Linked DNA regions of Oreochromis niloticus. The protein of the gene in region 1 interacts with the protein of each later gene in a pairwise test. Links are inferred from orthologs where the notes say so. Each region holds a gene or a part of one and is shown in the gene's direction. Other genes may lie near its edges. The genes, in order: nupr1b, ptmab, mphosph6 and ran.

The links.
Region 2: the proteins of nupr1b (region 1) and ptmab interact in binary tests that used the Homo sapiens proteins (3 or more experiments, as listed by UniProt). The link is inferred for Oreochromis niloticus from reciprocal best matches to the Homo sapiens genes NUPR1 and PTMA.
Region 3: the proteins of nupr1b (region 1) and mphosph6 interact in a two-hybrid assay, tested with the Homo sapiens proteins (2 studies listed by BioGRID and IntAct). The link is inferred for Oreochromis niloticus from reciprocal best matches to the Homo sapiens genes NUPR1 and MPHOSPH6.
Region 4: the proteins of nupr1b (region 1) and ran interact in a two-hybrid assay, tested with the Homo sapiens proteins (2 studies listed by BioGRID and IntAct). The link is inferred for Oreochromis niloticus from reciprocal best matches to the Homo sapiens genes NUPR1 and RAN.

Annotation. Positions count from the first base shown.
Region 1 is NC_031969.2:33,682,268-33,689,482, forward strand, and holds nupr1b (nuclear protein 1b), read left to right. Parts: upstream 1-4,949; 5' UTR 4,950-5,031; coding exon 5,032-5,128; intron 5,129-5,206; coding exon 5,207-5,334; 3' UTR 5,335-5,342; intron 5,343-6,594; 3' UTR 6,595-6,712; downstream 6,713-7,215. UniProt on the Homo sapiens protein: Transcription regulator that converts stress signals into a program of gene expression that empowers cells with resistance to the stress induced by a change in their microenvironment.
Region 2 is NC_031982.2:35,431,617-35,438,534, reverse strand, and holds the start of ptmab (prothymosin alpha-B), read left to right. Parts: upstream 1-3,912; 5' UTR 3,913-4,031; coding exon 4,032-4,076; intron 4,077-6,187; coding exon 6,188-6,253; intron 6,254-6,331; coding exon 6,332-6,416; intron 6,417-6,503; coding exon 6,504-6,589; intron 6,590-6,690; coding exon 6,691-6,735; 3' UTR 6,736-6,918.
Region 3 is NC_031972.2:1,932,304-1,939,142, reverse strand, and holds the start of mphosph6 (M-phase phosphoprotein 6), read left to right. Parts: upstream 1-3,813; 5' UTR 3,814-3,962; coding exon 3,963-4,010; intron 4,011-4,763; coding exon 4,764-4,876; intron 4,877-6,839. UniProt on the Homo sapiens protein: RNA-binding protein that associates with the RNA exosome complex. Involved in the 3'-processing of the 7S pre-RNA to the mature 5.8S rRNA and play a role in recruiting the RNA exosome complex to pre-rRNA; this function may include C1D.
Region 4 is NC_031966.2:22,419,910-22,426,878, reverse strand, and holds ran (GTP-binding nuclear protein Ran), read left to right. Parts: upstream 1-3,952; 5' UTR 3,953-4,106; intron 4,107-4,996; 5' UTR 4,997-5,021; coding exon 5,022-5,054; intron 5,055-5,197; coding exon 5,198-5,282; intron 5,283-5,509; coding exon 5,510-5,635; intron 5,636-5,741; coding exon 5,742-5,929; intron 5,930-6,023; coding exon 6,024-6,194; intron 6,195-6,311; coding exon 6,312-6,356; 3' UTR 6,357-6,697; downstream 6,698-6,969. Other genes in the region: ndufs8b (NADH:ubiquinone oxidoreductase core subunit S8b), read left to right, coding at 488-660, 2,354-2,482, 2,672-2,803. UniProt on the Homo sapiens protein: GTPase involved in nucleocytoplasmic transport, participating both to the import and the export from the nucleus of proteins and RNAs. Switches between a cytoplasmic GDP- and a nuclear GTP-bound state by nucleotide exchange and GTP hydrolysis.

The DNA of each region.
Region 1 (7,215 bases):
GTTTCTTTGTTTAATTTAACCTGAATTATGAAAGGACAGAAGGTCAAACACTGGCAGGTATGTAGAGCACGTCTGCTCATTTATAATTGGACGTTCTTCTGGAAACTCCAGTTGTTGTTTTTCTTTGGAAAAGACAAGATTTCTGTTTCTGTGGTACAACCTGTCATATTTGTTCAATCTGGCATGAAAGTTGCATAAAAATGTTTTTTCTTCACTTTTGTGGAGAAGGTTCGAGGTTACTTTATTTACACCTGTAGGTAAATTTGCTTTACTGAAAAATGTGTTTGGCAACACACACCTGTTTTGGTAATTAGACGAGATGAATCAAATCAAAAAACAGTTCTTATTAAGTTCAGTGATGGCAGTTCACCCCATAGAGGGGTTACCCTGTGACTCACCTGTCAGACGCCTGGACCATCTCACTATGTGACTCAGTGCATTTTTCTCTGTGGCAGAGGTCTGACTGAACCATGCCACCAAACAAAGAGATAAAAATAAATTAGAATTCCTCGGTCAGTGTGGAAATGAGCAAGTTCCCTTTGGCAGTGAGGGTGCCGGTGACCCTCTGTGCTTCTTTCTCGCTCCATCTCTGTGGCCTAAAGTCAGAAACCATGTCTTTGTTTTAGATATGTTCAACTGAAGGTAAGAGACTGAGTTCTTTTGCACCAGTGGTGGGCAGTAACATGTAATCTGATTACTTTTTCAAGTAACAAGTAAAGTAAGGGATTAAGATTGCAAAAAAGTAATTAGATTACCATTACTTTCGCGTTATTAAACCGTGATTTTGTTTGTGAGAGTGTCTCATGACAATGATGTGCGAGTGTGTGCGATGTCTGTGGCAGCAACAGACGTGTGCAGATCAACCGTGGATAACATGGAGTGATGGAGAGAGTACGACCATGCAGCGTTTAAAGCGTGGAAGTAATCACATTACTTTGAGTTTGATTCTGTAAAAACTGACAAAAACATCAGCGTCTGCTGTTCACTCTGCGTGGGAAGAAAACTTCTTTCTACAGCAAAGAATTAAACTTCAACTTTGAGCAGCGAGCACGCCGCCACGGGAATGTGACACTCACAGAGAAACCCCCGGATCCTCCCACTGACATGACCGCTGTGGGCAAACCTCCACCCGCCCCACTCCTGCTAAACAGGTGACAATAGATTTAAGAGCGACAGGACTCAGAGCTGCTGAATCTTTGATTTTATTTATTTCCTGCTGTGTTTTACTTGCATCTATTTGAAAGAGTGTAAACACAAAACAATATTTATTATTTTTATATGCTGGGATATGCAGGAAATAGGTTTAAATGTTAAAGTCAAAGACTGATGGATATAATTTAATTCATGCTTAATTCATTGTGCATAAAGATGAAAACAAATAAAACAATTTATAAAAAGAGACTTTTTCATTTGGTTACATTTTATATGATGGATTATGCAGAAAAAATAAATTTGGGCTGAAACGTCTGTTGCTTTATTACGAATTCAGGTTGTGTATCATGTTTTAAAAAGTAATTAAGTAACTAATTACTTTTGAAAATAAGTAAACAGTAAAGTAATGGGATTACTTTCATATGAACTGTATGAGAGTCTTTTAGACGTCGCTGAGTTTGTTTCAGTTTGTGTTTCACTTCCAAACATCCAAAAATCAGAAGAACTAAAACATTCAAAGTGTCTGAAAAATCTCTGTCTGAATTAAAACTGTTCAATCATTTCATGTTAAAATGATTCTGCATGCTTTATTTTACATACATGGAATTCTATTATGACACGTTAAGTAATCATCACTGTTCGTCTTTTGCACTGTACATTTTTCATATTTAACCCGTCAGTACAAACTTTGGGCCCTGACTTTAGTAAATCAGAGGTGGCTAAGGCTGTGCTGGTTTGAGACGGATAAAAACTGGAAACACTGGTTCAAAGAAGCAGCACTGTGATGGAGGCCAGCTGTAAAAATACTAAAACTCAGAAAAACCAAAATGATTCGCGTGCACGAGAGGACGCACGTGCACCCTAAACCCTCAACATGTCCAACGATCAGTGACCTCGGCCTCTCAGGTGAATGAAATAAATAAATGAAACAATTTCAGGAGATTTAAAAGGAAATGTTTACAGCTGTGTTAGTGCGTGTAACGTGCAGTAAAAGGATTCATGAAGATGAAAACACCTGAGCAAGTTTTCAGCCGCAGTTAATGTTTACCTGCTGATATCAGCTGATATCTGTGACCTGTGTGTTCAGTGGGAGCGCGACACGCCTCGCACATGTGACTGCGCACACGTCTGCAGCAAAGAAAACATCCTGAGCTCAGATCCTGCAGATTACACACTCGGTTTAAAACGTGTAAACATGCAGCCGTGACTTAGAGCTGCGACATAAACATGATAAAAGGTTGATTTCATGAAAAAAGTCAGTTATTCATGAAATATTTCAAACTGTGAGATAAACAGTCAAACGTGAGGAGAGAAAGTACAGAAACAGAAGTTTCCCTGATTCAGCAGAATAACGAGATTTCAGCTCGACGTCAAAACGTCAAAAAATCATGTTTCACTGAGTCGGAGCTGCAGCATGAAGACATGATCGTCCACAGTTTGCTGCTAAAAACACAAAATCATCATCGGAAAGATTCGACTTCCTGAGTCAGAAAAGATACAAATAAATTTATAAGATAAAAAATAAAACTTATGAATGATAAACAAACACGTGTGATGGGTTTAAATCTAAAAAGCAGAAAATTCAATTCAAGGTTTAAAAGTTGTGTGTGTGTCTGTGTGTGTGTGTCTGCGTGTGTCTGTGTCTGTGTGTGTCTGTGTGTGTGTGTCTGTGTGTGTGTGTGTGTGTCTGTGTGTGTGTGTGTCTGTGTGTGTGTGTCTGTGTGTGTGTGTCTCTGTGTGTGTGTGTGTGTGTGTGTGTCTGCGTGTGTCTGTGTCTGTGTGTGTCTGTGTGTGTGTGTCTGCGTGTGTCTGTGTCTGTGTGTGTCTGTGTGTGTGTGTCTGTGTGTGTGTGTCTGCGTGTGTCTGTGTCTGTGTGTGTCTGTGTGTGTGTGTGTGTGTCTGTGTGTGTGTGTGTGTGTGTGTGTGTGTGTGTGTGTCTGTGTGTGTGTGTCTGCGTGTGTCTGTGTCTGTGTGTGTCTGTGTGTGTGTGTCTGTGTGTGTGTGTGTGTGTCTGTGTGTGTGTGTGTGTGTGTGTGTGTCTGTGTGTGTGTGTCTGCGTGTGTCTGTGTCTGTGTGTCTGTGTGTGTGTGTCTGCGTGTGTCTGTGTGTCTGTGTGTGTGTGTCTGTGTGTGTGTGTCTGTCTGTGTGTGTCTGTGTGTGTGTGTCTGTGTGTGTGTCTGTGTGTGTCTGTGTCTGTGTGTGTGTGTCTGTGTGTGTGTGTGTGTCTGTGTGTGTGTGTCTGTGTGTGTCTGTGTGTGTGTGTGTGTGTGTGTCTGTGTGTGTCTGTGTCTGTGTGTGTGTGTCTGTGTGTGTCTGTGTGTGTGTGTCTGTGTGTGTCTGTGTCTGTGTGTGTCTGTGTCTGTGTGTGTGTGTGTGTCTGTGTGTGTCTGTGTCTGTGTGTGTCTGTGTGTGTCTGTGTCTGTGTGTGTCTGTGTCTGTGTGTGTGTCTGTGTGTGTCTGTGTCTGTGTGTGTCTGTGTGTGTCTGTGTCTGTGTGTGTGTGTCTGTGTGTGTCTGTGTGTGTGTGTGTCTGTGTCTGTGTGTGTCTGTGTCTGTGTGTCAGGAGGTCATGTTTACGACACGCCATGACTCAGGAAAACGTTCCTGCAGTCTCACATCCTCCTCTGCAGCCGGCTCAGTCACGTCGCTCACGAGGAGTCTGAGAAGCCTCCTCCCGACTCCTCCCGACTCCTCCTGACTCCTCCTGCTGCTGTTTACAGCACAAACCACCTGAAACAGCTTCAGTTGCTCAGAAAGTGACACCTGTGCTGAGCTGAAGTGTTTTACAGCCCAAATGTAAAAATGTCCTGACTCTCAAACACGAGCAGACAACAAAGCGCTCGTTCTTCTGTTTGTTCCTCTGAGACGCTCAGTCCAAAGTTTGTTCCACACAGATTAGATAACTCAGTTTAAATGTGAACACAAGGACACAAAGCTAATATATGCAGTAACTGCAGCGGCCCTTTCATGCTGCTTTGAATCCTTCAGCAGCGTCTTCAGTTTTCGCTGCATGTTTTTCCAAAAAAGTAAGTATTTAAACTGATATGAAAAACAAAAGTGGAAACGGTTACAATCATGTCTGAAAGGATGTCTGAGTGATGAGAGTGATGAGAGGAAACAAACCGAAAAGCCAGGCTCCAAAAGTCACAGTGAAGCTTCTGGAGATGAGCCTCGGTCACATTAATGGAAACATTTCTGCAGGATGACTCTGATCTGCTGTCACGGCCTGCAGTGCAGTTGGAGCAGCGTTAGATAAACACCATGAACCAGGTCAGGGTCATGTGACCACAGCAGCTGCTGATAACCAAGGAAAACAGACCCGGGATCATCTGCGGGAACCAAGGTCGGGTCTCACAGTGAGTCACAGGACCAGAGTCCACGTACACAGGTGTCACAGGCATGTGATGAAGATAACACAAGCTTCATGGTCAAAAACAGGACAGGTTAAGGAAAGTTAGGATACCTTGGTGGGTACATAAAAAGTACCAAAACAAGAGTATACAGTCAAATAAGTTTAAATTAGCTGTAAAAACCAACGAGAGCTAATAACTATGTAAACAAAGGTTTAAAACTATGAGAAGAAATACTGAATGTGACTTTGAATAAATAAAATGTAGAAATATGAGATAAAAAGTTGTGTATTCAACACAAAGAGTGTGTTCTTAATCTTGTTATGCAGAGGCTGCAGCTCTGTGGCTGATGCAACATTAGTGCAGAGGAAAGAGGAGCCCTGCAGGAGGAGTCAGGAGGAGGAGGAGGAGGAGGTGCATGCTTCTCATATATAAACAAACACAGAAAGACGAAAAACAGACAAACCTGCGAACACTGAGGCTTACTACGCAGACGCAAAGATCTCTGACAAACTTCTAGAAAAACAAACATGAGTCACGTCGACGTGAAAAACATGAAGCCCACCAAGTTTGAGGACGAGTACTACGACGAGTACGAGTACTATAACCTGACGGATAAATACGCAGGTGAGCTACCCTGTCCTGGTTCCGTCCGGTTCGTGTTCCGGGCCCGGAAAACTCACTGCTTTAGTTTTTCTGTTGCAGAAGGTTCGGCTCGGAAGGGCAGGACAAAGAAGGAGGCCAGCGACAACACCAACAGACACAACCCCGCAGGACATGAGCGCAAGATCGTGGAGAAGCTCCAGAACAGCGAGAAGAAAGCCAAGGAGTGAATACTGAGGTAAACCCTGGAAAACCGTGTTTGTGTGTCAGTGACTGTGCGCCGAAGTAAAGTAGGAATGCAGTTTCAGCCAGAGCAAAGTCGTCTGACTCACACGAGTCCGTTTGCACTGACAGAGGCCATAAACACTTAAAAACGGGCAGATTTCTGAACGCTGTCTGGTCTGTGGCTATTTGGAACGCTGGAACAGGGCAAACGTGACGCCAGACGCGCCGCGTGCAGAACTTCCTTTACGATTGTTTGAATTTAAGCCTCTCCCGCAGCGGTTTTTGCTGCCACACTTTGATTTTACAGCCCTCAGAAAAGAGTCCAAAGTTTCTTTTTATATCGAGTCCTGCGCCGAATTTTACACAGCGTGTTTCCTGTGTAGGAGGTCCAGTTTGAATCTTTGTTCTCGGTTTCTTTGCTCGAGGATCGGTCTGAATCTGAAATCGGCGATTTTTAAACGAATGTTTGGAACACAGCATACTGAACCACATCAAGCATTTTCCTAAACTGCGCTTGCTCCACAGTTATTAACAATAATTAACTGTTAATTAACAGCTGAATTTAAAGCCAGCTGTTCTTGTTACTGTTAAGGTTGAATAGTAGTGACGTCATGAGTGAAAAGACAGCTTAGCTGTTGTTTTAGCTATAATATTTGTCATATATTTCCCGTAGAATATGAATTCCCTCAGAACAAAACTGTTTATTAACTCCTGCCGCTCGCCTCCTGCACGTCATCACCAGGTTCATAGTTTGAATGGGCAGATATCCAGTAGAGGTTTGGTGCAGAGGGCAGAGGCTAACAGTTTGTACACTTTTACAATCCTCCTCCTGCTCTTCCTCTCCTTCTTTGCCCCACCCCACCCCAAGCCTTCTCCATCCTCCTTCTTTTCCACATCCCTGTTCGTCTTCTTCATGTTCTCCCTTGTCCTCTTCCTCCTCCTGCCTCCTCATCTCTTTTCTTCTTACGTGCCCTCCTGGTGGCCTGTGCAGGTACTGCAAGTCAATTAGAAATGATACAGTTCTTACATCATTTTTAAGCTTTATTATGATTTAATCCTACAGGATAAACTCGTATATGTAGCTGACAGATCACGTAATGAAACTGTAGATGAAGAAAACATTATGGAAAAGTTTAATTTTGGATTTTAAAGCTTTTTTTAAAAAGATTTTTAACACATGGTGCTGCTGGTGGTAAATAGATGCTTGAACTCCTCGTGTTTATGTCTTTTAATTAATTATTTGATATTTTTCTTTTCTACTTCAGGGAATCTCGGACGGCTCATCCCGGAAACCGACCATGGCGTCCTTGGCAACAGAACGACACGTGCAGATGGCAGGAGCGTCTGAGCTCCGATGGGCCCGCAGGTGTTGGAGAGCTCTCACCTGAGGCGGCGTGCCCCTGGGTCCCTGCTCGGACCGCGACCGCGCACCGAGACTGCGGTGGCGGCAAATGGCTCATTCTTAAGGATGTTTTTTAAAACTTGTTTTTACGATTAAAGACTTATTAAACTGAAATGAGAGTGTTCATTTTTTCTTCCTTTTAGGCCTCAGTGAAAAAACACAGCCTGTATGTAAAAGATGGATGTAGTGAGGTGCCAGGAAAGAGAGCCTGGAAAGTTCAGACATTGATGTTTAAACACCAGACATTGGTGCCAGCGTTCCTCCCTGTCCAGGATGTGTACATCCTCATCGTTGAAAGAGTGTCCACTGGCCTGTAGGTGTAAATAGACTGCAGAGTCCTGGCCTGATGAGGTAGCTCTTCTGTGTTGTAGCCAGAGGTTGTTTGGTTTCCCCGATGTATACATCCTGGCAATCCTCCTGCACTTAACAGCGTACACTATGTTACTCTGTTTGTGTCGGGGGACCCGATCCTTGGGGTGGACCA
Region 2 (6,918 bases), on another chromosome or scaffold:
AGCAGCATTAATAATAATGACAGTATGGATAGCAGCATAATAAATGACGGTGACAGTATCGTGTAGCTAAGCAGTTTCAATTGTTTTTGTGCTTATTTACTACGGCGACAGCTCTGGGAAAGAAGCTATCCCTGAATCTGTTTGTCCTGGTTTTATGTGAATGAAGATGATCTGCACACTAAAGTTCCTGTCTCTGCTTTTAAATTTAAAGTCACGTCTCAAATGTTTTTAAATGTATAACTGGACATTTTTCATATGATAATTGTTACAGCCTGAAGCGGTTTCCCACCACACACACTGGGAGTGTATCAGAAGACGCAGCTGTCCGTGAACAGAGTTATTGTCTGCGTCCGCAGCTGATTTGCATCAGTGACCAGTTTATGTGACTGCACTCGCTGCTGCAGGGTGACGATAATCATGTAGCAGCGGCTGCTTCAGTGAATAAAGTGAGACTGCATGTGCTTCGTGTAGTTTTTATTTCTGAAATCTAAAATGTACATTAAACTCCAGTGTTAGCATGGAGCTATTCTGGCATCTACTGATTAAATAAATCCCTGAACCTTACCAACTGTGAGCTCTGAGCGGCGGCATGCTCAGCTGTGTAATGGCAAAGGAGGACCAGCTGACACCCAGCATGGTCCGACCAACCTGAGAACCAAAGTGTGTTATTTATCACTGAATAAAACTAAACTAACAGCAGTCTTTCTTTTGCTTCTCCAGAACAGATCCTCAGCATTAAGTACCTGTCTCAGCTGATACTGATGTTCTGTGGTTCAAATTCCTCGACAAATCTGCGGTTAATCAAATTATCTACAACCAATTGACACGCCGCAAACTCAGAGCTTTGGAGGCCAGAGGAAGCTGACTGCTCTGCACAGCCGTTAATCCAACCTTGGCTCATAGATTTGTTTTGGTACTCGGAGATGGACCGACAGTCAGGTTCTGGTGCACCAAATCAGTACTGAACCCGACTGGCCAACTCTGTTACTCTTTTCTGCTTATAATTAATTAATTGTCTTACTTTGTTTATTTTAAGAAACCATTTAGGCCTTCTTTGGGTTTCCAATGTGTCAAACACACCAGAAACACAGATGTTTAGATGACATCATCAGTCTTGTCTGCAGTTTGGTTATGGTGAGCCGTGATGCAGGCAGTAATGCACATCTACAAGCCACATGCATTTTTGTGATTTGTTAACTCTACATTTACATTTCTTTTTGGGAAACTGCGTCTGGTTTTATGATTTTAATAGTCATTTTTTCATTGGGGTGTAGTTCATGTTTTAAGAAAAAGAGGACCTCTTTAAAAGAAGTTCAAACCTGATGGAAATACACCATCTCTGCTAGTTTCTGTTCTAACATAGCCGATGGTCACATGATGAATAAATGATGGACGTAGCCATTGTGATGTCACCTGTTAGTTTGTAAAGGCTGAAGCTGAGCCCATTGACCATCATCATCTTATCTTACTGAAAGAAGATGTCATGTTAGAGGGATACAGGATGCTTATAGGCTAGCGACTTGTCGATCACACCCAGCTTTACTGTGCTTCTGGGAACTGATGGAATTTGATTAGACTTAAAACACACGAGTGAGACCACAAACTGTTGATGATAGCGTTTACTGAGGTCACACAGCGCTCTCGATTCGACACATAGGATGATTTTTTTCACTTGTTTTAGACTGTAATAGTTCCTGTGAAAGATTTGTGTCTTCAGAATCATCAGGAACTTTTCTTGGGAGCTTCTTTACTTTGCTGTTGTGTTTTACATCTGGCGTTACCATGGAAACCAGATTTAACGCAGCCTAAGCCCGAAAATACAGAGATTTACCTGCAAGGTTAAAATTCGGACATAGCTTCTTAAGTTCTGAAAAGTACCTTTTTCTTACACAATGGCCAGCAGGGGGCGACTCCTCTGGCTGGTTTAGTTGTATAGGAGCCTATGAGACATTGACCTTTGGCTCCCCCAATCCATGACCTCATTAAAGACTTTCCTGATGGGTCTATAGTCGCAATCAATACCATATAATGTTCCTTTTTAAATAACAATCTCTGCTAGAGTCAAAAATGACAATGACTCAGGGTACGATTGTGCATGTGACTTACAACTCCTGGCAGTATCGAGTTTCTCGTCCGGTTTCAACACCAAGACGCTTCTGGACGATTCAGTAAGGGATGGCTCATCACATTAGCTACATCCATCATCTTTATTCAGTATATGACTGTAATGCACAGTATAAAAGTTGGGCACAGCAGCTTTAATACACAAATTCAAAATCACCACATAAACAGGTGGACACGCTGCGGGTGCGTGTCAGTAAATTCATTTTTTCCACACACTCAAAACGTGGTTAGATGGATGCAGCAGGGAGACAGAGTTTGGTTCTGTTGAAGGATCACCGCCTCCATCTGCTCTCTCTGATACCTGTTTAAATATTTTATAATACAGCCTAATGAAATATGAAGAGCCCGGCTTTTCCAAACAATTAAGCATAATGAGTGTGTCTCTCAGAGATCGTGGCGCTAAAACTAAAAGGCAACAACTGGGAAATCAAACATGTCAAAGACAGAACTGAAACTCTACACTGATGGAAGCACAGTCCGGATCCAGCATCCGGGCCCGCTCTTTACCGTCAGCCGACTGAGCCTAGTTTTGAATTGACGGACGTTGGCGATAACCAATCAGCGCCTGCCGTGCGCCAAAGCTGTGTTTATTCCACTTAACCGACCAATCAGAGCCGTCCTCTGCGGGCAAGTGCGTCATCAAAGTAGAATGTGAATGTGGGCTGCCTGTTATCGGAGCACACTCTGCTCCCATCCCCCATCTCCACTGAGCAATAGCGGCTGCCTTTTTGCGTGCCGCTTTGTCCTTCTCAGTTCAGCTTGTAAAAGCCATGTGTACAAAAGTCGGTAAGGAAAATACGTGTTTGCCCTTGTGTTTCATAAGAATGCGCGTCAGTTCATGAGCACATTATAATTATTTTCCGCACTTGTCTCATCGCATGTCTTTTATGTCGCACTGCTTTTTTCCCTCCTCCACGGCGGGGCATTTCTCTGTGGGTTCTAACAATGGAGGCGGAGGAAATGAGGCCACCAGCACTGTTCACTGCACCCGCTCACTGAGCCCGAACAGCCCGACTCACGGCGTCAGAGCCGGCTGTGTGTGTGTTGTTCGACGGGTACAGTGTTTATTTGTGTCTCGACCTTGGCGCACGAATTTATGGGCTGTTATGTAAAAAAAAAAAAAAAGCCCTCAAGAGTGTCAAGTGCGCACATACAGGGATGAGTTTCAAACATGGACGTCGGGAAGGGGCGGGGCGACGAAGAGCTGCGATGTGACATGGCGGCGCCGCTCCACATTTACACTGTTAGCGCCTTTTATCTGACTGATGTTGTTCACATGGAGCCTGAGATGTGACACTAACGTTTGCGTAGAAAAGCCCGATTTAATCCGTGATAACATCCGTGTCGTCCACGTTTCCCTCCCAAACACTTCGCCTCTATTCCCCCGTCGCGGCGGTGGGCGGGAGAAACCGTCTGAAGTCGCCGCTTGACTCGTCCAGACGCACATCAATCAATCAAACTGACACTACGTCAACCGAAGCGCTCTCGATTCGACATATTTACTGCGTAACTCGATGGAAACTCGATTTTCTCGCGCTCACGGTGCTGTGGAGCTGCCACGGTTCCGGCTCCGGTCCGTTTTGTGGGCTTTTATCGACTCGGATTATTGTTTTAGGGGAGAAAGGGACGGTTGCAGCGGTAGAATAGGAGGGGGCGTGGCCTTTAGGTTAAGAAATTCTATCCATTGTTACTCGACGCGCTAGGAGAACGCCTCTGTCGAGCCCCTGGCCAATCAGAGACCACCGACCTCATGAAGACCCCGCCCACAAGCCTATATTAAAGGCTCGGCCGTCAGAAGCGTTGGCCACTGGCACAATATAATACTGATTGATCCGCTAACTGAGACGAGGGGATTTACTTTATTCAACCTTTCATTTCAGCCGTCCTTTATTTTATTCTACTAAACAATGGCAGACACACAGGTCGACTCCGGCTCGGATATCTCTGCCAAGGTAAGCTGCCGCACACCTCCATTCGCGGGGCCGTGTCTCCGCGGAGCCCCTTACAAGAATAAAGCTCTCCAGGCTCTAACCTACATTTAAAACCTCTCCGTCGTTGCTTCGCGCTCGCTCGGACTTTGTGGAGTCTGAGGAGGAGGAGGAGGAGAAGAAAAGCCGGTGTTCGCCTCTTTGCCCCTGAACTCGGTGTGTAGAGGGAAGTGGGGGGTCTCGGCACCGCATCACGGACACGGGCAGCGTTAAAGCGCCGCGGCTCATTGTCCGGAGAGTCCTGGTCTGCGCGGGTCTTTGTTTCTGCGAGCAGCTCTGTTCTCCTGCCGGCACGCACACCTCCAAGCGAGACCCGGACACCGAGCAGCTCCGGTCCCCCGGCTCGCTCCCCGCGGGGTTTTCGGACTCGTTGTGAGCGCCGGGGCGCCGCGCATATTTATCCCGCATCTCGGGCTCTTAACGCGGATTAGATCGAGGGGAGGTTCCGCTCCCGGTGCAGGGACTCGGTCGGGTCGCATTACCGGGAGCGGTGACACACTCAGCGGCCGGTGGATGCGTGGACGCGGACCTCCAGCCTGGGGTTTGCTCCGTTTGAATGGAGGACAGCGCGTCAGGCGGTGCGCAGTCCTCCGGTGAACTTTCGGTTCTGCACTTTTCCTCCCGCCTTTTTTATTTCTTATTTCCGTGAGCCCGTTTGTTAAAGCCACCGGCCTGCCTGCACCGTCCGACCCCGTTTGTTTACCGACTCCGGAAGGTCGGCGGCCGCCGCTGCTCCAGCCTGAGCTGCTCCGGTCTCCGCTCCCGGAGCGCGTGAGCGGCTATGAGCCCGGGGCTTCCGCTTTGCTTTGGTGTTTTCGGGGTTTGTTTGCAGGGCGCGCTTCGGTCTCACGGGAAACTTTTCTTTCTTTTTTTTGTAATGCAGACACTTCTTTCTCCCTGTGTGTGTGTGTGTGTGTGTGTGTGTGTGCTCGCGTGCGCGCGCGTGGCCGGGCTGTGGAGGTGTGATGTGACGCTGCTGGTTTTCCCCTCTTTCTGCGGGTTTTCCTCCGTTTACACGTTTGAGCTGCTTTTGTTGTGAAAACGCGAGTTTTTGTGCGCGTGGACTTTGGATCAGATCGGGTAAAAGTTTAATCGCCCCCGCGGGGGGAGTCGTGGCTCCGCGGACCGCGATCATCCCGAGAATAATTCTCAATAATTCTGAGCGATTATAAGAAATGTCCATTTGGAGGAGGTGGTAAAGGTGGAGGGGGTGGAGAGGGGAAAAGTTGGACAGGCATTAGCGCGGGTAATCCGGGGAGCCTGTTCACTATTTTTAGTTGTGGAGCGTTTTTACGCACAAGCGCGTTTTTACGCGCAGCGCGCGGGCAGCCTGCTCTCCTCCTGCCGCTTAACAGCTTAATGGATTTCAACCAATAAGATTATGGAGAGCAATTAATCAATAACAGCCTACGTGTGGATGCGTGAGGCGCGCGTGCGGCGGGGATAATGGGCTGTGGGGGAACAAAACGAGGAAGAGGAGCGGCGTTAGTGCGCGCTGAGCTCGAGCACGGAGGCGGAAGGTGCCGTGTCTTCGCTTCGCTCGCTTGCCATGTGTCGTCTTCTATTGTCCTTTCCTGCCTCCGTTACAACGAGCAGCAGCAGCAGCGTGCATCGCGCTCTCTCCGCCGCCTCCTCCTCCTCCATCATCGACCCCTCCTCCTGCTCCCTCCCTGCTCCTGCGCCCTCCTGTGTTATTTTAAACGGGGTGCATCCTGGGTATTGCAGTGCTTCTCCCGGGCGTGTCTCGTGACATATGGCAGCGACAGCGGCCCATAGAAGACTACAATACCCAGAATGCCCCGCGGGCCACATCAAAGTATCAGATTACAACACATTAGAGGGGATGGAGTGGGAGGAGAGGAAGGAGATGGGGGGAGGATCTGCAGAGGCCAATATGGTGTTTAAATAGGAAGGCTGAAAAACGTGCAGCTCCCAGCAAGCACTGGGACGCTGCTAAGTAGGCCAGTAGGTAGAGGGGCAGGTAGCAGCGGTGGGCGGAGTCTAAACCCAGCAGCGCGTTTCGGTGGGCAGATGAGCAGGTTCAGTTTCTGATGTTTGCTTTTATTTGTTTTCAGGACCTGAAAGAGAAGAAGCTGGTGGAGGAGAAGGAGAACGGCAAAGACGCCGCCACCAACGGAAAGGTGAGTGCCATCACCGCCGCCACAGCAGCAACTCTGTGCACAGAGGTGGACATTTTTAACCATTTTTGTGTTTTCCAGGAGAATGAGGAGAACGGTGAGCCCGAGGTAGATGACGAGGAGGACGAGGAGGTGGACGAGGAAGAAGAGGAAGATGATGGAGAAGGTAGCTTGAAGGCTTATTTGCCTTTTAAAAAATAATAAACTCCTGTTAGAGTCTAAAAATTTTCACCTTTCAACTTTTGTCCTGTAGGTGATGAGGAAGATGAGGAGGAGGATGAAGACGAGATTGAGGGTGGCACAAAACGGGCAGCTGAGGATGACGAGGACGACGATGAGGTGAGGCAGCAGCGCCTAAGACGCCCTTAAAACGAGCGGTGCCATGACACCCAGCAGGCGCCGGTCTAACCCGCCACCGTCTTCTTCTTGTCTTCTTTCAGGACGACGTCGAAACCAAGAAGCAGAAAACCGACGATGACGATTGATGCGTTTCCCCCGCGCCATCCTGCTGAACCACTTCCTGATTCTTCACCTCTGACCGTTTTTCTATGTCGCAGGTGGAGGGGCTGGAGGACTGATTTAAAGGAAAAAATAATAATAATAAAAAAATCCAACATGGTCATTAGCAAGTAGAGTTCAACAAACACCCGCCACGTCCACACTCACCC
Region 3 (6,839 bases), on another chromosome or scaffold:
CACAATCGCTCAATAAAAATATTTTGAGTAAAAAGATTTGTATTGTAATTGTACACTGTACATTTACACATTGTATTACTTCTGAGTGTTGAACAGGTCCTTAGTCCATGAGATGTGACCTCAGCATGCCCGGGGTGAAAATTTGCTGAAGTGGGACCGTCCCGTTTGACCGGGTCCACGTTGCTCTGTGGATGGCAGTTTGCAGCATGTGTCGGGAAACCTGAGCCAGATGTTGTTCTGTTCTGGTTCTGTGGGAAGCAGAAGTAAATAAATTCAAACCAAAGATAGAAGGCCAAGCACTCAAATGATAAAAGCTTAGATCGCTGCAAAAAGGAAGGGGCTTCAGAAGCAAGTCTATCTTCTAGTACCAGACAAAATGAGGCAGTGTTTTTGGCGTTCCTGTGCTGCTGAGTTCTTCTTCCTGCCAGAACGAAGCCTTCACCTGACACTGCGTACACGTTCCTCCAGAAATCCTGCTGCTGGCCTGAGTTTTCTGCCGGGGCTGAACCACACATCCTGAAAAAAAGAGAAACAAATATGATTTAAAAAATGTTTGCAGTTGTCAAGTCGTCTTTAAACCTGGAGCCATGAGCTCCAACAGCACGCTCGACATGAAGCAGACCGGTGTTTGTTAGGAGATCCAAGCCATGGTCCACAATCATGTTTTACACACTTTAATCTGTCATGAAGTTGCACAAACATTTTGGACAACTTCTCAGTAAATTTGCAGCAGTTGTCATTATTTATGTGTCTACCTAAAAGATGTGCTACACACTGTATGTTTTTAATAATCAATGCTCTTCAGTACACTGACTGAGAAACTGAGCAGTATTCAGGATTTTTAATTGCTGTTGTGTGGATCCAGTGAAGAGTGGATACTTACATATCCTGTGTCCTGTGGCAGTTTGTCACGCCGTCCCTGTGCTCCGTGTTCCCTCTGTTCAGTGTCACGGCCGTGCCCCTGTGCCTGTCGTGTGTTTCCTGTTTTATTTTGATAGTCCCTGTCCTGGGTGCAGTGTGTGTGGGTATGCGTCCCCTCGTCTCGTTAGGTCTGATGTGTCCCTGGTGTGTTACCACCTGTCCCCATCCTCTCGTTGTCCTGTCCGTGTTTCTCTCTGTGCTTAGTAACACTCTGGTTCTCTGTCGTGTTTGTGTTTTCTACTTTGAACTGGAGTTTCTAGTTTAGTTTTCTTGTATTTTATATTCAAACGTTCTGCAGCAGTAAAGCTGCTGCTTGTCGTTAATCCTCCTGTCTCCGAGTCCCGCGTTTGGGTCCTACATCCTGCCTGCCACACAGCACTTCAGGAAACGAATCGTTTTAATATGCTCAAAAGTTAAAGCAAAGATAACATTTCTCATTTTTAATTGTCATTCAAATGAATGTACATGGATAAAAAAGCCTGATGGCATAGCTGAACTTACAAATGTTGCTCCTTTGTCTGAAGAAACTCCGGTTTGCAGTTCAGTAGGTGGTGTAAAATCAGCACATCAGCTTTTTTACAGCTCAAATCCTTTAAAATACAAATAATCACTTTATCCCCTGAGCAATAAAAAAAGACTAAATACAAAGTCTTTCAAAGGTTGCTGTTTGTGACATTGGACTGTACCGTCACTGTGCTGTTAACAGTTCAGCACAGGTTCCCATCTTCAGAGTGATAATAGTGTCATTCCCGGCCTGTAGTTTGTACCTTTGTACTTAATCCAGGATGGCAGAAACACTTGTGTGAAAACAGAACTTCCCTCAAATCCACTTGTGACTTTTTCAAAATCATGTGCGAATCGAGCAGTCTGGTGCTTCCTGGCCCAACGTCAAGGTCAGAAAAAAGAGTGTAGCACATCATTATTTGGTGTCTGTAGGCCTGGGATTTACAAATATTCCAAAAGCTGCAATTCACACGACTTACTCATTAGAAAAATCCAAGTTTGCCTCAAAGCGCACAGACCAGAAATGAACTATGGGCCCAATTTTCCGATGGCTCCAGGATAATGTAGCATGAAATGGTGTTTGGGTTTCAAGTGTCTGTTTTCCAAGAGGGCAGCAGAAGTTACAACAAATACAAATACAACACAAATTTTCTTTATTCCACTTTGAAAGGAAGTTCCCAGGGCCAGATTCAGATAAAGAAGGATTATTTTGAGCTGTAAATCATGCAAAGCTGCTCTAACAATAGGTCACTTTCAACCAATCTCCATACGCCATACGTCACACCTCGAGAAGGAGGCGGGTCCAACAAAATGTGACCACATAAAATGATTAATGTCTCCAAACAGCAACACACACACAGACACACACTGACATCAGAGGTTTGCGGAGTTATGAAAAGTAATTGACTGTTGTTGCTCAGTGGTGATGCGTGCTCAGTCATCCAGGTAATCTATGGCGTTATTTTTGTGCCACTATTCTGAGCGCACGTAAAAAAATTTGAGCACACGTAAAAAAAAATTGCAGGTGCAAGTGTTGCATTTTGAGGAGAAATGTATTTTGAGCTAAGAAAAGCTAAATTTGAGTGAACAAAATTCATTGCTGCGTGCAAAAAATGTATTTCAGTGTTTGCTATTATCCATACACACACACACAATAGCAGCCCCGCTCGCTCAGTTTTTGCATTTGCGCTTGCTCACAATGTGTTGCTTGTGCTCTCAACATTTCTGCCTGTGCGCTTTCAACTCTTTCTGTACACCGTTATAATTGTGCCACAAAACCAGCCAATCACAGACTTGGATGGAAAACATTCTGATTGGCTGTTTTGGTCTCTAATCAGCTCACTGGCTGCTGTAGCTAAACCCAGGCAAATATCCCAGAATGCATTTCATCCAAAACTCAAACGCAGTGGCAGAGGAACGCGCAGTGGCGGAGTTTGAAATATTACTCTTTCTGGGTCACAAAATAAACTTTTAAGATATTTGATGAATGGCGCTGTGTAAACTTCAAATATCTGCTCGATTTATGAAGCCATCACATATTTGCAAAAGTGCTCCAACGTTTTCGGAGATGCCTGTTACCCACCAGCTGACCGGGTAGTCAAGGCGCGGCTCCCAGCACATCGTTTTCAACCCCCCCCCCACTACTCAGGTTAAACATAATATATAAGTCACTTAGATCAGCGGTCCCCAACCTTTTTTGCGCCACGGAACGGCGCAAAAAATCACAGCATCTGGGCCCAATCCTCCGAACTGCAAGACAGCTTTTTCCCGCAAGCCTCACACTACCAGCTCCCCCCACCAGTGTTGCCAACTCCTCAGTAAGGAAAATCGCTATTGGTTGTCCTAAAAGTCGCTAGAAGTCGCTAAATGAAGTCATCACCTAATTTGCATAATTGGTCATGCTAATATAATTGTAACCTATGTTGTTGGAGAGAGAAATAACATCGTGGAAGAGACATAAAGTGAGTAAAAACGTCCTAAATGCATTTAGAGTTTATTTAGAACTACAAATTAAATTTCTTTTAGCAATTATTGTTTTTTTTAATGTCACAATTCCAACCCTGCTCCTTTACCCGGGCTTGGACCGGCAAAAGTGATCCGAAATAGGCACTCTGGTGGAGTTACTTTGTGTGTGTGTGTGTTTATAAGTAGTTTTAAACCTTGTGATCCACAAAACAGCATAAGAGTAAAAGAGTAAAAGAAGAACTGACTGTGTTACAGCACCCGCTGCTTGTTGAGAGTAAAAGCGATACGCGCTTTCACGTCTTTTTTTAGCGACTTTTTTAAGAAAAAAAGTCGCTAGGGGGTCTGAAAACTCGCTAAATATAGCGACAAAGTCGCTAAGTTGGCAACACTGCCCCCCACCCTAAGAAAATTTCTCTAGATCCGCCCCTGGGCTGCACATCAGAGCTCGATTAGCAGGGCTGGAGAAGCAGTTCAGCGCTCGGTTCTTTCTGCCTCTGTTCAGCGTGGCGTTAGCTCGGTGTGCAGCACCGAGGGTCCTCCAGTTCGGTTAGCCGCATTCTCTTGGGTTGAAGATGGCGAGTGAGTCGGTGAAGCTGTCCAAAAATCTGCTGCGGATGAAGGTAAGTGAAGCTGCGCGTGCTAACGGACACGCGAGAGCAGCTAGCAGCCGATAGCTAGCAGAACGTTAGCTTTGTAATGCGCCGGCGCATAACTCCACTCAGCAATCCTGATAATTTAAGGTTTTCTGCTTCACAGGAAGTTTTAAATCGTAAATAGAAGTTGAAATTGATTACCGGATGTCGGGTGTGACCCAGAGAGTAAATCGGCGTGCAGCAGAGTTAATAACAGGCTGTAAATGTAATTTATTAATAAATAATGTGTGCCAGTCTGAGACTCTAAAGATAAACTCTGACTTTAAAATGATCTCTCACGTGATGCGAATCTGAACCCGTGTGGATGCTCAAGTATTTGTGTTACGTCACGAATAATGGGAACGACGGCTGAAATTCATGCTTTAAAAACTGTATCAGAGTCTGATATGACGTCCAGGGGGAGGTAATAACCTGCAGGGTGCTGGTTTGTTTCCTGGAGAGGCTGAACCAGCGTGGAAAAGATGTTTCTGCGGCCTGATGCTTTGACCAATCAGAATAAAGCCCTCTCTGCTGATTTTCACCTTTACTTTAAAAATCTGTTCTGCAGATGTGGAAGATTTCACACTGAGGGAAACAACTGTGGTTCTCTGCAGATCTCAGCCAATCACAACTGAGTGCAGTAAAATCATCATTCATGAGAGCAGGTGTGGTTAAAACCTCACAGAAACGTCAGCTGAAGGTGACGTGTGTGTGTGTGTGTGTGTGTGTGTGTGTCCACAGTTCATGCAGAGACGTCTGGACGCAGAGACGAAGAAGCAGCTGGAGGAGGACGAGCGGAGGATCATCAGTGATGAGCACTGGTACCTGGACCTGCCTGAGCTCAAGGCTAAAGAGTATGTATGAGCGCCATTCAGGCTCCGCCCACTTTAATTCAAGCAAAATGCATAACAGCCTCACCGCACCGTCGTTAAAGGACTTTTTTTCATGCAGCTGCTTAATGTGCAGTTTTCTGAATGGAGTCTGGTTTGAAGTCTGAACTAGAAATGGACCGATCCGATATTACGTATCGGTATCGGTCCGATACTGACCTAAATTACTGGATCGGATATCGGAGAGAAATAAAAAATGTAATCCGATCCATTAAATATCAAAAAAACACCTCACAAAACTTGCGACACGGCGTAACTCGGCTCATAACCGTAGCACGTCGGAGCAGTGTGATCACGTGATAGAGCAGCTGTGTGTATTTGTAGCCTCGCTACCAAACCAGCATTTCATCTCCGAGGAAGTTATCCCAGAGAGAAGAAAGCAAGTGTGTAAGTTCATCTCTGAATGTTTGTAAAGCGTTCCCATGTTAAGCTTAACAACCGATATATGGAGCGACTGCCTCTCTCCCTCCCTCTCCTGCTGCTACTTCAATCGTGAAACTGATCAATCAGAATACTTTATTGATCCCTGGGGGAAATTATTTTTTGTTACAGTGCTCCATTATAAACCAACATTAACAAAACAGACAACACGCTAACTAAGAATAGTACTATATATATATATATATATATATATATATATATATATATATATATATAGTGTATATATATGTGTGTATATATATATATAGTGTATATATATGTGTGTATATATATACATAAGTCACACATTAATAAATAGCTGGAAAGAAACATGTAGTTGTAGCAGTAGCCAGTGTGTTAAGTGGATGCGTTGTACAGGGAGATGGCCACAGGCAGGAATGATTTCCTGTGTCGTTCAGTGGTGCTTTTCGGTATGATGATCAGCTGATTGGCTTTTCTGTCGCGAGTCCGTCTCTCTTCTTTGTTTTTGGCCCACTTTGCTCCAGAAAGAGGAAACCAGCGGCGGAACAACAGCAGCACGTTTAACCTTGATAAGCTGTTGTTAGAATGTATTTAATATTACTTTCTACACCAGGATCCTTTTCTACGTAGCTGACGGCTGGTAACTGTGCAGGGGCGGATCTAGCAAAGTGTAGCCAGGGGGGCCGATGGGGCATGAACAGGGAAAAGGGGGCACAAAGACATACTTTTCTTTCTTATTCTCATTTAAAATGTCTAGCTTTTAATAAATAATTATCTGAATCTTACACCCAAAGTTTTAATCTGATGTAACATGTATAGAAGTCCATTACTGTATATAGTAACTGTTAAGTCTAATATACCCTAGTAAGCTATAGTACTTTTTCCTTTGGGAAGGTACCATCTGTGCAGTCTGCAGTTCTGTAGAAGAAAGATGTTGAATCTATTTAATTATTCTTGAAAAATAATTTATTTCTGTGCATTTTTTTTCACCCTGCATCAAATTAAAGTTGATTACATCGATTAAGCATCATGAGGTGGAGGGTGGGGGGTGGTTCCCTATTTCTTTTTTTGCTGGGAGTTTGCAACCCTGTTAGTTAGGTTGCTTAATATTTCTGCTAAGTACTCTTTAAAATACCAGAATAGGGAGGATGGAGCAGGTTTAAGTTTATTAGATTGATCAGTGTTGCTGAACTATGAAATATTTTGGGTGCAGTGTATTTTTTACATACAGGTATAACAGAATAGCTTTAGTGTTGTTGTTTATTTAAACTTGAGTATGAACTTATACAAAATGCAGCAAGATATTAAAAAACAGTTTTATTGATTAAAAAACACACTATATCGGATTCATTAAGGTATCGGCAGATATCCAAATTTATGATATCGGTATCGGACATAAAAAAGTGGTATTGTGCCATCTCTAGTCTGAACACACAGTGAAGTGTGTTTTAAGTCTTTAGGGGTCAGAGGTCATGTGATCATGGAGGCGGATGATGTTATTCTGGAGGTGTTCCTAATACTGTGG
Region 4 (6,969 bases), on another chromosome or scaffold:
AATTCTGATGGCAGAAGATGGTCCAACCGGTTCTATCAAAGCGTATCTATATAAAGTGTCTGATTTGTTTATGTACTGTTATTAATCATGGCCAGAAATTAAGTTAATGAGGTCAGTATACATCCATCTTATGCCTATGAGTCAGAAACTCAGGCTTCATACACCTTTAAACAGTACATTTCAGACACTCCCTGCTGTTCATTGCTTTGTTCGATGTCAGTCAGAGTATGTATCCTTAATTAGAGTCACTTCAGTGACACAGCTCTGCTTATGAATACAGCAGCCCCACCCACTACAAAATAAGGTCTATAGGGAGAGGACTTAAACCACTGTTTAACTCCTCTTCCTTTAAACTGAGCCACATTGAAGAGGTGAGTAATTGACCTCTCTTCAACTAATTCATATCTTGCAAATTAATGTGTGTCAGGGACAGTGGGCCCTTTAAGGGTTTTTTTTAACATATTTTTTATTCTTTGCCTTCACGCAGGTTTGGCAATGACCATGAGTTATCTGTTCCGTGAACCTGCCACCATCAACTACCCATTTGAGAAGGGTCCTCTGTCGCCCCGCTTTCGGGGGGAGCACGCCCTCCGCCGCTATCCTAACGGAGAGGAGCGCTGCATTGCCTGTAAGCTTTGTGAGGCTGTCTGCCCTGCTCAGGTAAACGCAAACACACAGTCCCTTTTATTATGATAGTTGTGTTTTGGTTTTGGTTTTTTGTTTTGTTTTTTGGACATGTTGAGGTTGTCTAGAGGATGTACTGAGGTACAAACAAAGCATTATACTGAACAAGAAATATGAATGACATCACTTTGACATGGCACAGCTGTTAGCCATGGATGATCAGGTTTAAGGATTTTTAGAAACTGATGGTTTGGCAGTGGCAGTTCTCTGGGCGATGGAACTGATAAAAAGACATTGAATAACCGCTTATTTCAACCACGATATGAAGAACAACGTCTCTGAAAACACAACATGCTGAAACCTTGAAGCAGACCAGTCACAGCAGCTGAAGGTTTCCAGCTGAGAACAGGAAACTGAGGCTAGAGTGGGCACAAGTGCAATAGTGTGGCAGATATTTTTGAACACATTTACCGCTCATTTAAACACCACCTTACACCGGAGTATTGTTGACACAAATAACTTCCACAATCACCAAATCTCACCAGAACTGACTGATGCTCTCATGTGAACGTGTACCCTATGTGCTTCTTAGCACCTTTTTGCATCTGCAGTACTGTGATGCAATATTTCTATTTTGCTTCAGACCAGCAGGATTTTCTTGTAATTTATTAAAGAGCTCTTCAGCAATGGCTTTCTTAGGGTCTTTTAAAGTGTTTCTGTATACATTGGCTGCTTCTTCCCTTATTTTCAATCCACTCTAGTCCTGTACCTAACCACTTTCAGAGGAATCCTTTTTTTATTAAGCCACTTAGCACTCATGAATGAATCATTCAAGACTAAAAAAAACACCCAACTCAAAGGATGAACCGTTGCTGTGCCTACAGCTTACACATAACAAACAATTTAGCAAAGAACCCATTTTAAATTGTATCTTTAGACACTTTTTATATCCGGCAAAGATCTGAGACAGGACCTAAGAACTTCATCTTACTCTACACTCTATCCATCTGCTGTTCACCAAAACCTGACCAAAAATGGGCTCAGTGGTAGGGTGTCTGTCAAGAAACATTCTTGAAACCAGATTATTGTTTTGAAGCTACCAGTGGATCATGAATTGCTAATCATTCATGATGTTTTTGTGCTATGAATACATGTATATCTCAAAAGAAAGAACAAAAACTTAAAGGTTAACACTATTGCTTGATGGGAAAACATAGACTGCTGGAACATTTCATTATTGGCAGGGATAGTATTAAGGAATGCAAACAAGGAAAAGAAGCTGAGGTATGCCAAGTTAATCGGGAGCTGGGACTGAAAATCAGGGGCAAAAGGTTTGATGGAGTGATGGCTCCATATTTAGTCTAAATCGTCATCATGATATGCAGAGGAGGTCAGGAGAGGGCTACAGCAGTGAGTGTCTACACACGGTGGAGGCTCTGTCATGGTTTAGGGCTGCCTTTAAGCCAGTGGTGTTGGAGATGTGGTCAAACTGGATGTAATTATGAACCCAGAAAACTATCATCAGATTTTGATCTGATTGGCAAAGGCTTCATTTTTCAGCATGGTAATTATCCCAAGCACACTGCCATTCAGTTTATTTGTTTGTAGTCAGTTCTCAAAGTGTCTGTAAAATGAATGTTGCTGATATTTGAATGCTTCCTACTGTTACGCCAAAAAACCAAAACGGTTTAAACATGATGCTTCCCTTTCCTTTCTCTATTGATCTCAGGCTATCACTATTGAGGCTGAGACTCGAGCCGATGGCAGCAGGCGGACCACGCGCTATGACATTGACATGACCAAATGCATCTACTGCGGCTTCTGCCAGGAAGCCTGTCCTGTTGATGCCATTGTTGAGGTAAAAACAAAAGTGTCCTCCAAGATTGATGAAGCTGAACAAGCAAATGCTAATGTGGGGATCTTTCACTGTCTTTACTCTAGTTCAGTACAGTAAATTTACAACTGAAAAACTCCACTACTCCACCCAACCCTCCTTCAAAACAGACAGTTAATGTCTTTTTAAAAAAAAATTGAATTCCTTCTTCAGGGTCCGAACTTCGAGTTCTCCACAGAGACTCACGAGGAGCTGTTGTACAACAAGGAGAAGCTGCTCAACAACGGAGACCGATGGGAGGCTGAGATAGCAGCCAACATACAGGCAGACTATCTGTACAGATAGACTCACTGTGGGAGGGTACTGTATGTTCTCCTGATATGCATTTAAAGAGATTACTGGCAGTTTTACAGTTATGCCAGCGAGTTCCGAGTGGTGAAGCCTCATATACTGAGGAAATTCTTTAAAAAACGCACAAATTTTATTCCTCTTAGGTGTAGTTGTACTTTTTGATGTTGAACTTGCACAATTTATATATACACAATGTGGGACAGACCATTTTCTGTAGCTCGTCAAAGCTTGCAATATAAGAGTATATTATTTGAAATGTTTGTTTTAAAGATATTGACAGACCTGTTGCAAATTGAATTAACTGAATTGGAAAGGGGAAAAAACCTTTGAAACTGAGAAGATGTGTTTTGTGCTTTTCTGTTTATTATATTATATCAAAAACTTGACTCTTGTTGGACCAAAACCCTTACATTAAGTGAGTTAATGACTGTGTTTTTAATGGTTTATTAGGCTGTTGTTATACGGTTGTAGCCTCCATTGTAACTATTGCTGTTTGCAGTTGTGATGCAAATAAATTACTTTTAAATTTTTAGTCAATAGAAACAAAATAAATATAATTAAATATGGTTGTTCAGTGTTTACTGGATTATCTGCTTTTTTGAGTTGCTTAATAAATGAAAATGATTAATTAAAATGAAATGTTTTTATTGACTTTTTTTTTAAGGATTTTGCATTTTCACTGAATTGGTGTTTCAACTGACTTTCACCTGTGTCAAAATTAAAACGCACTTGTGTTTTTGAAGCCAGCTGTGGTAAACAGATGGTAGTTATAGATATTATTATTGTTGTTGTAGTACACAAAGAAAGAAAATAACTTTTCATTCACTGACTTTTGTGTGGTAAAAAGTGTACCAATATTACTTGGTCTGACCTACGAAGCATCTTTGGCTGTTAGTAGGATAACACTAAACATTTTGGGTATTGGGCTCTTTTGTCTGCCACATGTGCATCCAAAAGTTGTTCAAGGAAACGAGGACGTTGCTGCTATCCTGTGTTTTTTAACAAGTTACCTCAGAAATAAACAGCTCGTAACCATACACAGCTGCCCAGCCTTAGCTGCTTGTCTGTAGTGGGAAATTATGCTTTTCTAGCTGCATGTGAATGTCCTTTAGGGTTGGATAAGTGTGTTTAAATAAAGACTGAATGCTGAATCACGTTCAGTTAGGACCGTGTTGCTTCATGATGCGTTTTTGCCGCTGCGAGGGTCACATGATAAGGGCGGAAACTGACTCATAGTCCACGCTGAATCTCCCGCGAACGCAGCCATTTACTCTTTCCTCTCTTCGAAGTGTTACCGGTGAGTCTCTGAATTCCTCTCACAATGCGGGCTATCATATATTTCAAGTTTGCATTCTTTGGGGAGAAAAGTCAGTTAAAACAATGGGCAGCTTTAAATCTTTGTCTTGCGATTTTGTAGCTGTATCCACGTGAGGAATGGGGCAACCGGGGAAGGCCGGTGGTTTTTCTTATGCGGCTAACTAGCTGTTAGCTCGATAAAAAGAATGGCTTCCATGCTGTGCTAGCTAACAGGTTAGCATGCACGGCTATCCCTCATTTTTTTTCTGCTTTGTTCTTGGGACTCGCGCGTATTCCTGTAAATACATAGTCAGTATTTTTGACAAAATATATTGTGGATGCGTGGAGTTACATTCATGTGTAGGGTACTATTTAGGCTGGGTTTGACTTGAAGTGTAGCGTGGAACACATTAGATGGGCTTCCAGTCGGATTGTTTCAGTCGAACAAGAAAAAGTGCGCTCGCCCGTCGTGTGGCGCACTCAATCTAACGTTTTTAGCTTTCCTAGCTAGCAGCCGTTGGTGTTGAAATGCGCATTTAGAAGCGCGCTTTCGTAATTTTCCATTGAATGCAAATATACATTAAACACACAAAATGAATTAAACCTTTTTTCACAACATAGGTGCACCGTTACACGTTTACTCGTTACATGTGTGAACGTTAGCTTGGATGGAAAATGCTAGAAGTTATGGCTATGTAACAAGCTATGGAGTTTAGCTAAACGACAAAATCGTAGAAAACCGCTCAAAACACCAAAATAACATCTCAACAAATCATAGCTTATGTCATATTTTGTCTTCTTGAAATGCCATTTAAAGGAGTTGCTAGCACTGCTAGTTAGTGTTGACGGACAACGTGCTAATCAACCGTCCCGCCTCGTTTTATTTAACAGAAAAGTCGCAACCACGGCGGACTCAATGGCACAGTGTGTTCCGGTGGCGGTGTTTAAGGTAAGTGCTTGCAGTCTAAGATAAATTGATGTTCCATTTCTCAGCCTTTTAACTAAATGAAGCACCGCTGTCTGTGCTAACAACGGTCAATGTGGTGAACCAGTACCAACCAGTCTAGACTAACTGTACGCTCTGCATCGCAGTTGGTTTTGGTAGGAGATGGAGGCACCGGGAAAACGACTTTTGTGAAGAGGCATATCACAGGAGAGTTTGAGAAGAAATATGTTGGTGAGTACTCGCTTCCCAGGAAGGAAATCAGCTCATTCTTCTGGTCTCAATGAGTTAAAGATGCGGTGATAGATTTGAAAGGAGGATGTATGATGCCAAATGTGTTAAATGGAACTATAGGGAGCAACATGTCCTGCATGCCCCTTCCTCAGATAAAATATGACTGTCTTCATCACTGTTTACACCTTCCTTCTCCTTATTCATTATGTCTTTGCTTGAAATTTCAGCTACTCTTGGAGTAGAGGTGCACCCACTGATTTTCCACACCAACAGAGGAGCAATCAAGTATAATGTGTGGGACACAGCCGGTCAGGAGAAGTTTGGAGGCCTGAGAGATGGCTACTACATTCAAGGTGCTCCTCGCATCCTTCGCATGCTGCTCGAGTTTCACGTTTTTAAAATTCATGTACCTTGGCTTTAGCTGAACAATACGTTAATGCTTTCTTGCTTCCTCAACAGCTCAGTGTGCTATCATCATGTTCGACGTCACTTCTCGAGTCACCTATAAGAACGTGCCCAACTGGCATCGTGACCTGGTCCGTGTCTGTGAGAACATTCCCATTGTTCTTTGTGGCAACAAGGTGGACATCAAAGACAGGAAAGTCAAAGCCAAGAGCATTGTGTTTCACCGCAAGAAGAACCTGCAGGTAATAACTGCTTGCAAAAATGTGTATTTTTGAATTGCAGAAACAACTTTTGAGTTTTGTCATTTCTAACTGCTGCAAATTTTTCTATCTGCAGTACTACGACATTTCTGCCAAGAGTAACTACAACTTTGAGAAGCCTTTCCTGTGGTTAGCAAGGAAGTTGATCGGTGATCCCAACCTGGAGTTTGTGGCAATGCCTGCCCTTGCTCCCCCAGAGGTCCAGATGGACCCATCCCTTGCTGCTAAGTATGAGGAAGAGCTTCAAGTGAGTATCACTGTACAGACTCATTTGTGTGATTTAGATGAATTTATTGTAAATTTTACTTGAGCATCTTCTAAATGTGGAACAATCTGAGACTTGACTTTGTTCTTCCATATCCAGGTTGCATCACAAACAGCACTCCCAGATGAAGAAGATGACCTCTAACCTGTTACCTAGATTTGTCCCTCCCTCCTCCCCCACCTGTGGACAGGAAGTCGTTGGAGTTTTGCCCCCTTACTGTAAAATCCCTTTTCAGATTTTTTTATTTTTGAATTTTTTTTGTTTTAAAACTTAAGTAAAAAAGAAAAAAACTTGGTGGAAAAGTTGTGGTTCTAATTTCACTGTATGACACACACCCACCCTAGTGTTGTTGTTGGCATGGCAACGTGCTACTCTTCATCGTCGAGCACCCTCCATTGCACTTACCCAGCTCACATAATGCTGTTGTACGGTGTACTGGAAGCACTAAGGGGAGTAAACTTTGAATAAAAACATTCTCGATATAACACGGCCGTTTGTGTTGTGATTTGCCTGCACGCCAACGACTTCAGGTCACAGGGAGCGCCTCGTAGTTTAAAAAGTGGCTCTAGTATATTCAAGCATCTTGGTGAGGATGATTTGGTGCACAATACAGGTTCCTGAAACTCAGGTGGATAAAAGAAACCAATAAAATTCAGCATCTGCTTTTGTGCTCTCCTGCTGTTACCAGTAAATGTTTCATATAGAAGAAGTCTCATGCCATAGCTTAGTCTGCAACATTGCCCACAGTAGGTCAAAT